Lonchura striata: one gene and its partner. The protein of the gene in region 2 interacts with the protein of the main gene of each other region in a biochemical or structural test. Links are inferred from orthologs where the notes say so. Each region holds a gene or a part of one and is shown on either strand. Other genes may lie near its edges. The genes, in order: EME1 and SLX4.

Evidence for each region.
Region 1: the proteins of SLX4 (region 2) and EME1 form a complex in vitro, tested with the Homo sapiens proteins (3 studies listed by BioGRID, with this or other methods). The link is inferred for Lonchura striata from reciprocal best matches to the Homo sapiens genes SLX4 and EME1.

The regions. Positions count from the first base shown.
Region 1 is NC_134621.1:5,708,489-5,716,203, reverse strand, and holds the start of EME1 (structure-specific endonuclease subunit EME1), read right to left. Parts: upstream 3,172-7,715; 5' UTR 3,128-3,171; coding exon 2,449-3,127; intron 2,366-2,448; coding exon 2,238-2,365; intron 2,061-2,237; coding exon 1,968-2,060; intron 1,554-1,967; coding exon 1,432-1,553; intron 1,238-1,431; coding exon 1,105-1,237; intron 589-1,104; coding exon 473-588; intron 1-472. Other genes in the region: MRPL27 (large ribosomal subunit protein bL27m), read left to right, coding at 3,302-3,323, 4,898-5,020, 5,754-5,821, 6,254-6,460. UniProt on the Homo sapiens protein: Non-catalytic subunit of the structure-specific, heterodimeric DNA endonuclease MUS81-EME1 which is involved in the maintenance of genome stability. In the complex, EME1 is required for DNA cleavage, participating in DNA recognition and bending.
Region 2 is NC_134618.1:4,009,746-4,016,867, reverse strand, and holds the start of SLX4 (structure-specific endonuclease subunit SLX4), read right to left. Parts: upstream 3,261-7,122; 5' UTR 3,212-3,260; coding exon 2,845-3,211; intron 2,023-2,844; coding exon 1,783-2,022; intron 1,031-1,782; coding exon 856-1,030; intron 1-855. UniProt on the Homo sapiens protein: Regulatory subunit that interacts with and increases the activity of different structure-specific endonucleases.

The DNA of each region.
Region 1 (7,715 bases), on a different chromosome or scaffold from region 2:
CCCTTCCCACTCCAAAAATCTGACCCAGAACAAGAGCTCTTATTGATGTCAAAGCTCCAGTGTGAAACCTGAAGGTGGTGAGGCACCAGAACAAACTGCCCAAAGATGCAGATACCCAAAGAAGTTGTGAATACTCTGTCCCTGGAAGTGTTAAGGCTGGATGGAGTGCTCAGCAATCCAGTGTAGTGGAAGGTGTCCCTGCCTGTGGCAGGGGGTTGGATTAGATCATCTTTAAGGTCTCTTCCAACCCCAATCAGCCTGTGACTATGAAACCAGGGTCTATCCTGACCCCTCTGTGGGCAGGACATCCATTTCAAGAACAAGTCCTGTGTTGAAGGAGCTGCAATAGCAGATGTTCTGTCACCTGCACCTTTGAGAACCATTATTCCCAGTGTTGTACCTGCTATCCCTTCCCAGTAGCTGAAAGTGCAGCCTCTCCAAAGGTAGGGCCAAACCTCCTCTGCTTACTCACTTGTATGGTGCCTCAGCCACAGCCTTTGTGAACATAGTGGCATACTCCCCAATCTCCTCACTGCTCTCAAAAATGCTGACTTGGACTTGTGTGCTCAGCTGCAGATCCACCAGGGCCTGTATCACCATTGGGAACAACAAATGGCACAATCAGTCTTGTTGCATCAAATTCCATTTTTGTCTGGAGCATAAAAGGGTCACAAACATCCTGCTGTAAAACAAGAACATTCACTCTCTCTCCATTTTGGGAACAGTTAACTTAAGACACTGATGTATTTAGGGGCAGGCTGTCTCCTGACAGTTAATATCACCTCAGTGTCCTCTGAGCTGCCTCAGCTCCTCTGTGGCTCTTGTTATGAACAGGCCACCACCAGTGGGCTTTGCCAAAGGGCCATGAAGGGCAAGAGGTGCTGAGACTGACATCAGTATCCAGGTGAATGCGACACAGGAGTCTGTGTGGGAACAGCAATGTGACTGAGCAGTAGGGAACTGACCCCAGAGCTCTGCCCACAGACTGATGGCCTAATGAATAATGAAAGCCAGACTCCCACCCACAAAACTGTGTGACTGGGTCAATTGTTCAAATACTGGGAGACAAGAGATGATGGCTGCATGTGTTTTAAAACCACTCACTTCTTTCACATCCATTCTGGATAAGTCCAGGCCACAATCCTTAACCTGTTTTTTTCTCCTTTCTCCACGTTTCTCTTGATTCCCACTTGCTGCTGCCTGTCGCAGCCTTTGTTTTGGCTGAACTTGGAGAGACCTAAAAAGAGTAAAGTAAGACTGGGGTGACAGTCTGGATGGACCTTTGTTTCTGTTTCTGTATTAAAATTGGTGGAACAGTTCTGGGAATACCTCTTAGACTCCAGTCTTTGCTAGAAAGAATTAACATAAACACCTATGGAATTTTTCAAGGCCAGAGAAAACACAGAAACATTTGGAAGGAAGAAGTCTGACCTGAAATAATTTTCTACTCCAACTACTGCCAGAGCCAGAATTCTCCCAGGCATTTTCTCCATAATATGAGCTACATAGCTCTGCAGGGTCTCCTTCTGCCTTTCTGCACAGCCATCAGCATTCTACAAAGATGAGTTGGAAAAATAAGGAGTTAAACCATTTTTAGGTATACAGAGAAGCACAGCAAATTATGGCCCTGGTTGTAGGTCTGCAGAGACTTCAAGTTCACCCTTGCTCTTCAAGGCAAGCAGGCAATACTTGATCCCATGTAAGGTTAGAGCAGAAAGAAGGAGAAAAAGTTAAACCCACTTGATATAACTCTTCAGAGGAATGTGTGAAAAATTTTAACTAGCAAAGACAGCTTGTCAGAACTTTACATTATACAGCCCATTAGTGGCTTCTACACCCAGATTTCTGTTTCAGTGAAACCCTGCATTCCTCCCACACCAAAACCTTCCTGCCACTAAGAGGGATGCTAAAACACCCGTTTTACATCAAGGCATTTTCAGGAGCAAAAGAGTCATAAGCATTCTCACTTGCTTGTAGTTGTGAACCATGGACAAAAACTCCTCCAAGCCAAGCAGAACCAGAACATTTGGTTCTTCTGTCCATTCATCTCCTCCTCCCATCTGTTCAGATATGAAAACAAACAGGCCACAGTCTGTTTAGAATTCTCTCAGACTCCCACTCAAACCTCTGAGCAGGGAGATTAGAGGGTGCTCACTTGAGTTGCTAAATAAAATTACTAACGACTGCAAATAACACATGAGGAAAAGGACAAGATTATCAAAATTTTGCTCACATACCTGTGATGTCACTGTCTTTCTCCTCCAGGTGATGCTGCAGGGAACAGCGTGGTTCTCAAACACACAGGAATAACTGGCAGCTTGCAAAGCACTAAGGATCTGCTCGCCACCTTCTACCTGTAAGATGACTGAAATCGATGCACGGGTCAGGCCCCCAGAGAGAGGAGACAACAGTCAGTACAAGGCAGCTGCAGGCTGCGAGGACAACTACCTGGATCTAGCACCACTGTTATGTATTTCTGGCACTCTCCTGGCCGCTGAGCTTTCAGCATCTTGGCAATGACTCTCTTCCTCTCTTTTTCCTCTTCCTGCTTCCCTTTCTTTGCTTCTTGCTCCTTCCTTCTCTGCCACGCATTCTGGCAGATTGCCTCCCGTTCCTTCTGACTATATTGTCGCTTTTTGAGAGGCAGCGATGTTTCTGGCCTTTCTCTGCTGGCCGGGGAGCTACTAGGCCTGTCAGAGTCGACTGGCAAGGAGCACAGGGAGGATCCCGCAACACCGCGTGTACCATTCTCACTATCACAAGCTATTTCTTCAGACGGCGTCACGTCTTCCCAAAGCTCTCCGCTCCCAGGAGCCACCAGGTGATCACTGGCACAAAAAACCCCAGATGCCTCTTCTTTATCACCAGCGCCCAGGTTGAAAGGGTCAGGCCCTGCCTTCACCATCATCTCGACCGTCTCATGCAAAGGGACTACTTCCATCGCCTCCTCATCCACCTCTTCGCCCTCGCTGCTCACTATCTTGACAACCTCTTCCGCTTCAGGATCAGGAGATGGCGACCGCGGGCGGCTGGGCTCGCCGAGGCATGGGGACGGCTGCAGCAGGTAGGCGAAGGAGGGCAGGCGCTCCTCGTCGCTGCTCTCAGTCCCGGACTCGCTCTCCGCCATCTCCCCCGTCCCTTCGGGGGCCCCGCGCCCGCCTGAGGGCAAAGCCCGCGCCGGCCGCTGGTTGGGCCGGAGGCGCGCGCAGCGGGCGGTGATTGGCCCGAGCGCTGGCGGCCGCGCGCGCTCGGACCAATCGCCGCGCAGCGGGGGAGAGGCGGGGGCAGCGGAGCGGACAAGATGGCGGCGCTGGCGCGGCTGCGTGAGTCCGGAGCTGTGGGGGCTCGGCGCCCTCCGAGCGCTGGGCAGCGGCGGGAGGGATGAGCCGGGGACACGGCGCCCCAGGGGGCTCACCCCGCCCCAGGGGGCTCACCCCGCGGGATGTCGCGCCCCCAGTGGGGCGTCACCACCCAGGCTTTCGCTTTGGCCTGGAGCTGAGGCGGAGCTGTGGTGATGGGCGGGTTTGTGTATGTGAAACTAACTATACTTCGTCTTTTTCTAATTTCCTGTTAATCGTCAAGTCTCGCAGGCTTTAATTTGCCTAATGGGCCGTATCCTGAAGTTAAAGGGGTTTTGTACCCTTTCCCCAACAGTATTTCTTAGAATTATGGACAGGCTTGGGTTGGAAGGAACCTTAAAGGTCATCTTGCTCCAATTTCCTGCCATGGGCTGGGACGTTTCCATTAGACCAGGCCCCATCCAGCCTGTGCGGGAACACCTCCAGTGATGGGACATTTCCAGCTCAATGTGCATCCGTCGTGATTTAATTAAATTAAATTAGTGGTTTTGCTCAGGCTAAGGAAACAACCACTCTTCTGCACTAACCTGCTGCTTAGCGGGCTAAGTAATAGGATTCAGAAAAATTAGGTTTGTCTCCTAACTGCATGAGAGGTGGTACTGTAGAGATTTTTAAGATAATGATGACTTGGGTTGGGAGGGAACTTAAAGATCACCCAGTTCTTACCCCTTGCCATGGGAAGGGACACCTTTCACTAGACCAGGTTGTTCCAAGCCCAGATTCAACCTGGCCTTAAAACACTTCCCTTAAACTGGGATGATTAATGGAAAAAACTGTGCTCCAGACTCCCTTTTTGCCACTCCCAGGGCTCTATATTCCTTCTTAGATCCTTTAATCATAGAATTACAGAATCATTAAGGTTGGAAAAGTCCTCCAGTATCAGCAAGTCCAACCTTTATGCTCCTTCTGGATACTCCTCAGATTGTTTCTGGCTGGTCATAGATGTTTATATATTTTCCAGAATTGTAATCTGCTCATTTGTAAGATTTCAGGATGTAACTGTGTAAGTAAATGCCATTTGGTCAAAGGGGAAACTGAACTCACAAACCATCTTTTCTCAAAGCACTGTAAGAGCAATTCACAGCAACCAGTGACATCTGTGCTGCATTTTACATATATATTTTCCAGAATTGTAATCTGCTCATTTGTAAGATTTCAGGATGTAACTGTGTAAGTAAATGCCATTTGGTCAAAGGGGAAACTGAACTCACAAACCATCTTTTCTCAAAGCACTGTAAGAGCAATTCACAGCAACCAGTGACATCTGTGCTGCATTTTACAAGAATGAAAGAGGAATTTGTACACATCATTTAACATGGTTGCTGAGAGTTTTATTCTTACCTGGGCAGCAGCAGCAGCACTTGAGATGTGGCCTTTTTTCAAGGAATTTAGGCCATTTTGGTCTAATTTATCTTTTTGTTTCTTTCCTTTGCCTTTAATTTTATAGCCTGTCTTAACTGATAGCCTTTAAATCTGACAGAAGGAATTATGTATGATAGTTTTTTTAGCTGATGGTGTTGTTCTTTCTCCTAACCTAGTTCTAACCACTCGTCATACAAGCCTGGTTGCTGTCAGATGGGCTTCTAAGAAAAGTGGGGGCAGCTCTAAAAACCTAGGAGGCCGCAGCCCGGGGAAACGCTATGGGTTCAAAAAAACCGAAGGTAGGTCTGAGTATCGTATTTGCATTTCATTGGGCTGTTCCCAGCTTCTCTCCCCTGATGTATGTCAGTTGCTGAGTGTCTCAGCAGGAGGTAGGCAGGGCACTTTTCCGGGAGAAAGAAGGGGAGGATCAGTGAAACCTCACGATCAAGGGTTGCTGGTGGGAGGGCAGGCTGAGTCAGCTCCCCCTCCCCACCATGAGCCCGCCGGCTGCCAGCCAAAATTGCCCACAGAAAATGTACTTTGGTTCTAACTTTGTCTCTCCGGAGGGCCCAGGAGGAGGGAACTCTGTGGGACACCTCATAACTGCGCTGCACTTTCCCCCCACACTGGGTGGAAAAACCGAGCATTTCCATTGTTTACAAAGGAGAGAATTAGAAAGCTTAGCAGAAGTCAAAGTGCAGATTCTTGCAGTTGAGTGCTTAATAATTACTAGCTTTTCTGATGGAAACATATCAATGTAAATGTAATTAAACAAATGCCTTCAGCAGCCAGAAAATGCCTTGTACCCTAGAAGCAGTCTTTTCAGAAATTTGACTTTTTGCCATGGTCTATCCATTGTCCATTTATTTCCTGCTAACAGCATTTTTGTTCAGATGCTTTTAACATTTGAAGTAATTTTTCCTTAGAAAATGCCTACAGAAGGCTGGGATTTGTAAGTCCTGGAATAATTTGTGTTGTTCCAGGGCTCTGGAGGCTCTTGGTCTGCAGTCTGACAGTGTCACTCTGTTGCAGGTGCATTTGTCCATGCAGGAAACATTTTGGCTACGCAGCGGTTGATCCGCTGGCATCCCGGCGCTCACGTAAGGCTTTTTCTCTCTCTTTGGTTCTCAGAGAACAGCAGTCCCCCCCAGAGTCCCACACTCACTGCCTCCTCTCTTTCAGTCTCATTCTTAATGCTCATCCATGTCTTCTGTGGTATTAGTCATAGAGCCTGCTCAGAGCCTCACCTGTGCTCGTGGCACTCAGGGAAGGTCTGCAAGTAATTAATACCCCAATACACTTCTGTGACCTGACTGGGCACTTGTGCTTCAAGGTGGCATGGTGTCTCATGTCTCATACTGAGTACCATTGCAAACTGGTTGCTGGAAGCAAGTTGTGTGGTTTTATTTTAAAAAATAAAAGCAACAGATGCTGTTGAAGCCAGGATATCAAACAAGGCAGACCAATAATCAGATCTGCTTTAGTTGTGGATTTCCAGCCTCTCCTTTCTAATGTTCCTCATCCTCTCCCAGGTGGGGATGGGTCGAAACAAGACACTCTATGCCCTGGAGGATGGGACTGTGAGATACACCAAAGAGGTCTATGTGCCCCCACCCCGCAGCAGTGAGAGCAGGGATGTGATCTGCCAGCTGCCCAAAGGAGCAGTCCTTTATAAAACTTTTATCAGTGTTGTCCCTACCACAGAGGTAGGAAGCTTCAGACTTGTCACCATGCTGTGAACCTGCTGTGTCATGTGGGCACAGATGGAAAGGACAGACCACTACAGCTATACTGGCATCTGAGGACAAGACTGGCTCTGAAGATACTGTTTTAGGACTTGGTTTTGTTCCTGAAGTGCTTGTGATCTGTGTTCAGGCACTGAGATCACCTGCTGGCATTTTTAAGAGTGTTTAATAAATGCTGTGGGGCAACTGAAGGTCTTGTCTACTCATGGAATGTGTTACCATGGTCGTGTAGTATCTGGAGAGCCTGGTCTGTTGTGCCATTGGATGAATTCCCTCTACAATCACTCTTGTGTCAGTACTTGTCCTGCTAATAATTCCCTCTGGTTTTGCTCATTTTTAGTAATTACTGTTCTATTTGTACCTTAATTCACAATACTGCAGAACAGATCCTTTTCCACATGCACCTATGTGTACCCAGAAGCTTGATTTTTCCCTCTAACTCACTCACCTCAATGATTAACTTAAATATCTGAGTGTTCCATTCACTGGCCATGCGAGGCAAATTCACGGCATAACTCTAACTCATTACTGAGTTCAGGGAGCCTGGCAAGATGCCCAAATTTGGGCTACTATTTGAAGCCTCAGCAGCTGGAGGTGTGTGATAAAGCATTATCCAGGATACTCATCCTTTTATCTTTGATTCATTATGTGACATTTTTGAGCTTGTATTGCTCAAAATAAAGGAGCCTCAATGTATTGTGCCCAAACTGATCTCATTTTATCTACAGGTTTGTAAACAATTTGAAACATTGACTGCAGTAGAAAACAGGTTATCAAAATTAGTAGTGTAAGGACACTGGTGTTGACATTATTTGGACAATTCTTCTGCTCTGCAGAAGACCGAGTGAACTGGGTCAGCCACACATGCCCACCTGTGTTTCACAGTCTTCCTGTAGACCTCCAGCTGTTCAGTCCATGCATCTGTCCTTTCCCAGCCTGCAAATCCAGTCCTGTGGTTCATCTTGGTGGTCCGTATTTGGGTATAACCCCTGGAGCCTCTCCAGATCCATGTGTGGGCTCTGTACAGAACCACTGTCAGTCACAGAGGCCCTTGGTGCTAGAGCACACAGCAGTGCTCCAAAGCACATCCCTTCTGTCACTCAGAGGTGAGGATTTCCACCTGGCAGGCAATACAGATACAGTAAAACACTTGATAACCTAAGAAACAGGTGAAGCAGCACAATACCACCAGTGCCTGAGGTCTGATCCTTTGCAGAGCCAGCAGTGCTGCCTCTCAGAGATCTGAAAT
Region 2 (7,122 bases):
TGAAAAAATCCCTGCCTAATGTAACCTGGTAATCTCAACACATGTGAATAGTTCAGAAAGCCTGACTTTCCAAAAAACACACCTAGCAGTGTCGCTGTTTTATAGCTTTTTCAAGCAGCACAAATTGTCTGAAAACAGAAACAACAGTACCACCTAGAAAGCTGCAGGTGCAAACAAGCCTGATCAGTGGGAGACAGTCAGTAGCCTGATGTAGGACTGGATAATTTACATCACTCCTGCTTTCTGGAAGTGCTTGAACTAAGAATTTACAATCATTCAAATGTGTTGTTTCTGATCCTTTGTCAACAGAAAAGCACAGATTCGATTTCCAGAGAGTTGTCTGTCCATAATAAATTGTGTTTGATTTTTATCACTTAGGAAATTGTTCAATGAAGGGCAGTAATTTCAAATGAGTCATCTCTCTGAGTAACATCACATTTCCCTCAGCAAACAGCTCAGATACAGTGACATACCAGATGTCCTTAGATGAATTTTAGCAAAACAGAGCAAACAACTTTGTTGGCTGAAATCAGTAGATCTCAAAACTGGCATTAGGGAGTCATCACTAAGGAAATCATTAAGGTTGGAAAAGAGCTTTAAGACCACCAAGTTCCTTTACAATGGCAGCTTCTCTGCCAACCTGCTAATGAAAGCAGATTTGGCCTGGCCACACCAATGCAGAAATCCTGCAGGGCAAGGCAATCAGCCTCTGCTTTCACACCAAACTGACTCGCTAATTCAAGCCACAAAGGCAAAGACCCCTTTGCAGAATCCCTGCTCCTGTTCTTCCATGGCTGGGCTGAGTGAGGAGTCTGTGGGGCTGGATGGAAAGGATAGGTCCTGCTGGTGTTTGACCTGTTGACATGCTGCTCTCGCCGCAGGGTGTTCATGGCTGTGAGATCCTTCTGGCAGATCTGACAGAAGAACAAGCCTGCATCCTCCAGGCTTGCCAGGGCTTCCTCCTTGGATTCCTGCTGAAGAGCCAAAGCCAGAGCACTGTCGTGTTCCACGGATGGGGGATGGTGGGTATCTGGCAAAGAAGGCAGGGATGATGTAAAATGGAAAACTAAATCCTGTGTGGAAGGTGAGAAACTGGTACACTAGTCATTATTAGCTTTTTAAATTAGACACACAAAAATTCATTGCAATCTTCCTCTTGCATCTACACACCTGATCTCCACCAGGAAAGGTACAACCTGCTCTTTTCCAACAGGAGCAAGAGGTGACAATTTGCTCACAGCACATCACATGTCAGACACAATGAAGGGACAGTTTTGGCTGAAGTTTCTGGGGAAATTATGGAATTTTATACATCAAATGTACAACACAGCAGACTTTCATGCCCATACAGAACCAACAGGGACTTGATCTATAAAGAATCAACCAGAGTAAATTTGCTGTGATTTCAGTTTATCAACACAGAACGTATCACCTTAGATAGTGCCTGGAGAGGTACCAAAGATGGGGCTACCTAAGAGCTGCTTAACACTGTCCCAAGGGAAGGATGACCAAGTTCACCGGTCCTGTTAGAATTTCAGTCTGTTTCCAAAGAGACAATTATTCCTCTAGAATTTACATGAGATTAATTCAGCCTTAGAGAAGAGCTGGGAAAAAGGTATGGATAATCCTTTAATGAAGTTTTCTCAGGGATCTGGAGTGATTTGCACAGCAAGCCACTAGGCTAGCCAGGAACAAAGCCCTGGGATCCAGGACTGCTCCTCAGGCAACCATTCTCACCAGCCACTCATTCTGCAAACACCAGAGCCAAGAGGAGACACGTACCATCCTCAGGAGGGTTCTGCTCCTGGCTCCTGGCAGGGAAATCCCTGCTGGCTGCAGCCTTTGGCATGCTCCCATCCGAGCTGTGTTTCAGCTGTTCAGGTGCCACCCTCTTGAACTGCTGCATTCTCTCCACCACCAGCTCTGCCACCCGCACCTTGGGGGTGGGTGAGGAGCAGGTTCCTGGAGGAGTAGCAGGAAGGAAGGGCAGGGTAGTCTGGGAACAGCCGCTTTCTGGATTTACTAGAGGGGAAGAAAACACCAGTTTTACCAGGCAGTTTTAAACACACACTGAGAGCAGCTGGAAGGCCCCTCCCTGAGAGCAGCCTGGGCCAGGCTCAGTTCTACAACAGCCATTCTTGGAGAAGGGAACAATTTGTGTAGCCACAGTAACAACACTGGGGTTCTGTGCTACAGGGGCATTTAGAGACTTCTGTATCCCTTTTATAGGCAGTAATATAAAGAAAGCCCTTGCAGGAAGGTCTCCAGCAGGGACATGGAAGGCAGTCCCACAGCCCTGCTCTCCCAGCATTCCCACTACAGAATGTCCTATTCCTGACTGACCTATTTTATCAGTTTAAGGACTTCCATCATTGGTGACTGCATTCTGGCCATCATGTTTAACAGCTAATGAAGAACTAATCCTTTACTAATTAATCCAACACCCTTCTTAACTCATTCATGTTTTTGCCCTTGAAAACATCCAGTCACCATACATTGAAAACAATATGTCACCATACATTGAAGCATTGAGTGAAAAAGCACCACAATATGCTCTGAGCTTGCTTCTAGATGATCTGAGAGTACTTTTCTCAGTTCTGACACTGCAAAAAACAGTGTATAATGACTGGCCAGCAAATCACTTTGTACCAAGGCTTCACCTTACTGAAGGACATCTGCCTGCAGCACAGAACACACTCCCAGGTTAAACCCATGTAAGGCATAAGCCTGCTTTCAACAGTGCTACTGTGTCCCCTCTGGGTGGACTTCTCAAAACCTTCACTGAGATACAGAGTCCTTCCAGTCCTTGTCTATCTCCTGTGTGAACTGTTTCAGGTCACTTACCTGTCAGAGGCCTCTGGCTACACTCAGTGGTCCCTGTGCTTGGCTGGCTGGCAGGGAGAGGGCTTCTTGCTCCATTCCCCTCTGCAGTCTCACCACTACAGGCTGCAGCATCACCATCTTCTTCGTGCACCAATGCTTGCTCCTCTGGACCCAAATTTTGAAGTAAATTTGTCTCCTTCACTGCTGGTAAGTGATGATGGGTTTGGCTCTTAGCAGCAGCTTTGCCTCTTCTTAATCTGTTTTGTGTTGTGGTGCTCTTTGGCCTGTTCTGAACCCTCTTTGTTGCCCCAGCATCCCCAGCCTTTTTCTTTGCCCTACTCAAAATATTTGCCCACAACTCTTTAAAATCATTGTCCTGTTCATCCATTGGCTTTCCAGTAACACTGTGAGGACTGGAGGGCAGGGGGAAGCACCAGAATCAGTTCAGATTTGTATCAGCCCTTCCAGCACCTCAGAGATGTCCATTCTCCAGACTCCAATAAGATCATCAGACAGAGTGGGCACTTCCAGTAGTTCATTCTTCCACGCTTAATTCACATTCAGTAGAGCATGCTTTCTCTCCAAGAACCTCGTCTGCTTTCACAAGCTGGTTCTTCAGAAGACTCTGGACCACAGGTTAGGCACCTCAGTTTGTGAGAGCACACGTAGGATCATCATGGTAAGCTACAGAGCTTCAGAAATAAACTTATGAAAGCCCTTAAACAAAGAAACAAAGGCAGGTAGTCACACAAGATGGTACAGGCAGATGCACTATGGGACAAGGTGTAAACTGCTGAAGGAGAAGAGGATTTGCATGAAATACTAAGATTAGAAACAGCACATATTGACCCCAAACAGTGTCCCTATAATTGTACTACAGACATGCCCAAGCCACATTAGCAAAGGAGAGGAGAGATATTAAAACACGTATCTGATATGGTTAGGTTTTTTCTTAGAGCTCTGGATTCAGACAGTCCTTCTGTTATACACATTCCTACTTATATTTATATAGCACAAAATCAGTGAATGCAGCAGGAAAAAACTCCATCCTTCAGCTCATGCAGTGATTCTGGAGTATTAAACTCTGCTTTGAGACACTACAGTTTCACAGAAGAGATCCCAGCCTCATTTGGAAAAGTAAATAAATGGAGTTTCTGGTACTTCAGAAGGGGTTTTAGGACAAGTCAGAGAACAATTCCATTAAATATGTTCACCTTTTCTCTCCTCTTACTTCCACTATTGCTCACTCAGGATTAGCTCTCCTGCTCCTGCTCAATTCTTCCCCTGAGTACTCAATAAACCACAGCACTGATTCTGTTTCCCAAACTGCTGTCACATATGTATTAGACAGGGATTACCTGGAACAGCACTGGGTACAGTGTCCAGATGGAAATGCCATCAACTCCCAGGCAACATTAAGACTAGAGCTCTATTCTTACACATGTTTTCATTGTCCCCTTCTTCGTAGTCCTGAGTTCATGATGGTTCTGGCTATTTTACCAGGAGTTTTTATTGCTCCCAAAACCTACTTCTTTCAAACCTAAACCAGAATGTTTCACTTGGAATGGCAGCAGCTGTGGTCCAGTTACTCCGGTAAAGCTCTGGGCAGAGAAAGACTCAAAAAGCAGGAAAAACACATGGGGGACTGTTTTCTCAAATGGCTTGGCTGCAGACATGAGAGGCTGAGGAATGCTGGTTACACACTTCCATGGATCAGCCTTTTCTATAAGCAATTACAGACGCTAATGGATTTATTTATTTTAAACTCAGGCTCCCAGACCTGCAGAGGATTTTGCTGTGAATCTTGGAGTAATTTTCTGTTAGAGGGAAACAAAAGTTTCATGTAGCTGGTTCATAAATTTACTTCTTCTGGACAGAACTCTGGGGTAGTTACAACTGTAAATTGACCATTTTCTTCTAAGGAGGAGACAGCATGTCAAGAAGTCCCAAATCTCACATCCTACACCGCTTTAAATACCTCAGACACATCTGTACTGCCAGATTATTTATGGTGAGTTCCTGATATTAAACTTTGAAACAGAGCAGCATATTTGGCTATCAATATTCAGTGTCCCAGGCAGATCAGATCAGAAACACCTATGATGCAAAACTAAGACTTTATCTGTATTACTCCTCCCTTTCCAGACCTGCATTTACAGATTCCTGCTCTGTTCAACATCTCAATATTTCTGAAGCTGCTGCTACTGCTGCCCCTAACAACCAGCTTTGGCACCAGTTTATTGAGCTCAAAAAGTAACAGTTTTGAAAGTAATTTCTTTCACTATAATGTTCAATTAATTTTGGAAGATTTTAGGACTCAACAAATCACAAAATAATCAGCAGCACTTACCTGCTCACTGAGATGCCAAATCTACAGCCCAGCTGTGCCCTTCAAGTAAACATGGATCAGCAAAATGGTACAAAGCAGGACCAGTAAGAATGAAAGACAGAACCTAGAAAATGGAGGGAAAAGGATGGATTTAATGTATTTTGAAATTACTGCTCTCGATGATCCTTTGCACCCTTTCAATAGGTACCTGATGGGAGCCTACAAAAAAAGATGGAGAGGGAGTTTGGACAAGGGCCTGGAGTGACAGGACAAGGGGCAATGGCTTCCCACTGCCAGGGAGTAGGATTATATGGAATATGGGGAAGAAAATCTTCCCTGTGAGGGTGCTGAGGCCCTGGCATAGGTTACCCCATCCCTAGAAGTGTTCCAGGCCAGGCTGGACAGGGCTTGGAGCAACGTGGAATAGTGGAAGGTGCTCCTGTCCAGAGCAGGAACTGGATGATCTTTAAAGTCCCTTCCAACTCAGATTATCCCGTAATTCTATGATTTAAAAGTATGTACCTACTACGTGCCTTCAATTTACTGCCTTGTAATTACTTAGTTAAATAATAAATCCCTTAAAAAACCCCAAACAGCTAAAACAGCTGTTGCTCTCCCACTTTTCAGAGCAGCCTCTCTTTTAACCCCTGAAAACATTTTTCCACCAGCTATCTGACTTACATGCTCTCAAACACACAACATTTGGGCCTGCTCACTTGCTGCTTTACACTCTGTCTGCTCCAGGAACAATTCTCCTGCCATTTCAGCCTCCAAGAATATGTCATCACCGTGGCTACAACAGCCCATCAGTGCTAGCAGGCCTCCACAAGTTGCACACAGCAGATACCTTCTCCCCTCCTGAGCACCACAGTGGTGCTTCAGGACATCTCCTCCTCAATTCCTCATCTTGAAAGAAAAATTCACTTTATACTTCCAAAACCAGGAAAACACCTTCGAAGCAATCTCTTGTATTCCACAGGAAATGCTAAGGGAAATGGGATTAATTAACATTAGAAAGCAAGGCAACAACAAAACCTGAATTATTATCTGGGGTCCCCAGCACAGGAAGGACATGGAGCTGCTGGAGTGAGTGCAAAGGAAGCCACCTTTGTACCCCACCCCTCCCTCCAGCTTCACCTCAGGCTTCAGGAATCAACTAATTGCCAGGACCTGGATGACCCTGGGCTACTAATTACAGAGTGCTGGCAGCAGCAGGATGATGGGATGCACCACTTGGCTTGGCACTGGAAGTTTCATCACCTTCTCCTCCTTTTGTGGAAGCTGCAGCCAAAGATCTGAGGGTTAGTGATAAAATTTCCAGTCAAGTCAGACCAAATACTGCGAAAGGGAAGAACTTCTGTAGTGTTTTTCCTGGCAGCTACACTGGAAGGAGGTCTCTAGGGATTCCTCCAAACCAAATCTTGTAACAAAAAATCTCCCTACTGGTTCCTGATGGAGAAGAACCTACATGTCAATGGTGTGACTTCTGAAAAAGCACATTATCCTCCAGCCTTTTATGGATTCTTCATTAGAGCCTGATCTCTGCACTAACCAACACCTTTATCACTACTTTATAAAGACATGACACTACATCTGTACAGTGCAGGGTCTCTGTGGTTGCAAAAGCACAAAAAATTTAACACTGAGGACAACAAGGCTTGTTCTGTGAGAACAAATGTAAGTGCAAAACACAAATCCAAAGTAGGTACGACTCTCTTGTCCTGGTCTATGCCAGCTTCCCTGTGCCAGAAAAGGGTAACAAAACCAGATGAGGAAAATAGGAAATGAGAAATTAATTCAAATCTCTATAAACAAGGGAATGCTAGGTAGGAAAATCATACTGAGATTCCAAGGAGCAATCTTAGCAGGGATCAGCATCAGTGTCCATCTGGCACCACCCACTTCCATATCTGATGTCCCATCAGTCCTCACATTTCTGTTCAGGGCTACACCTCCCCCTGCCAGCACCC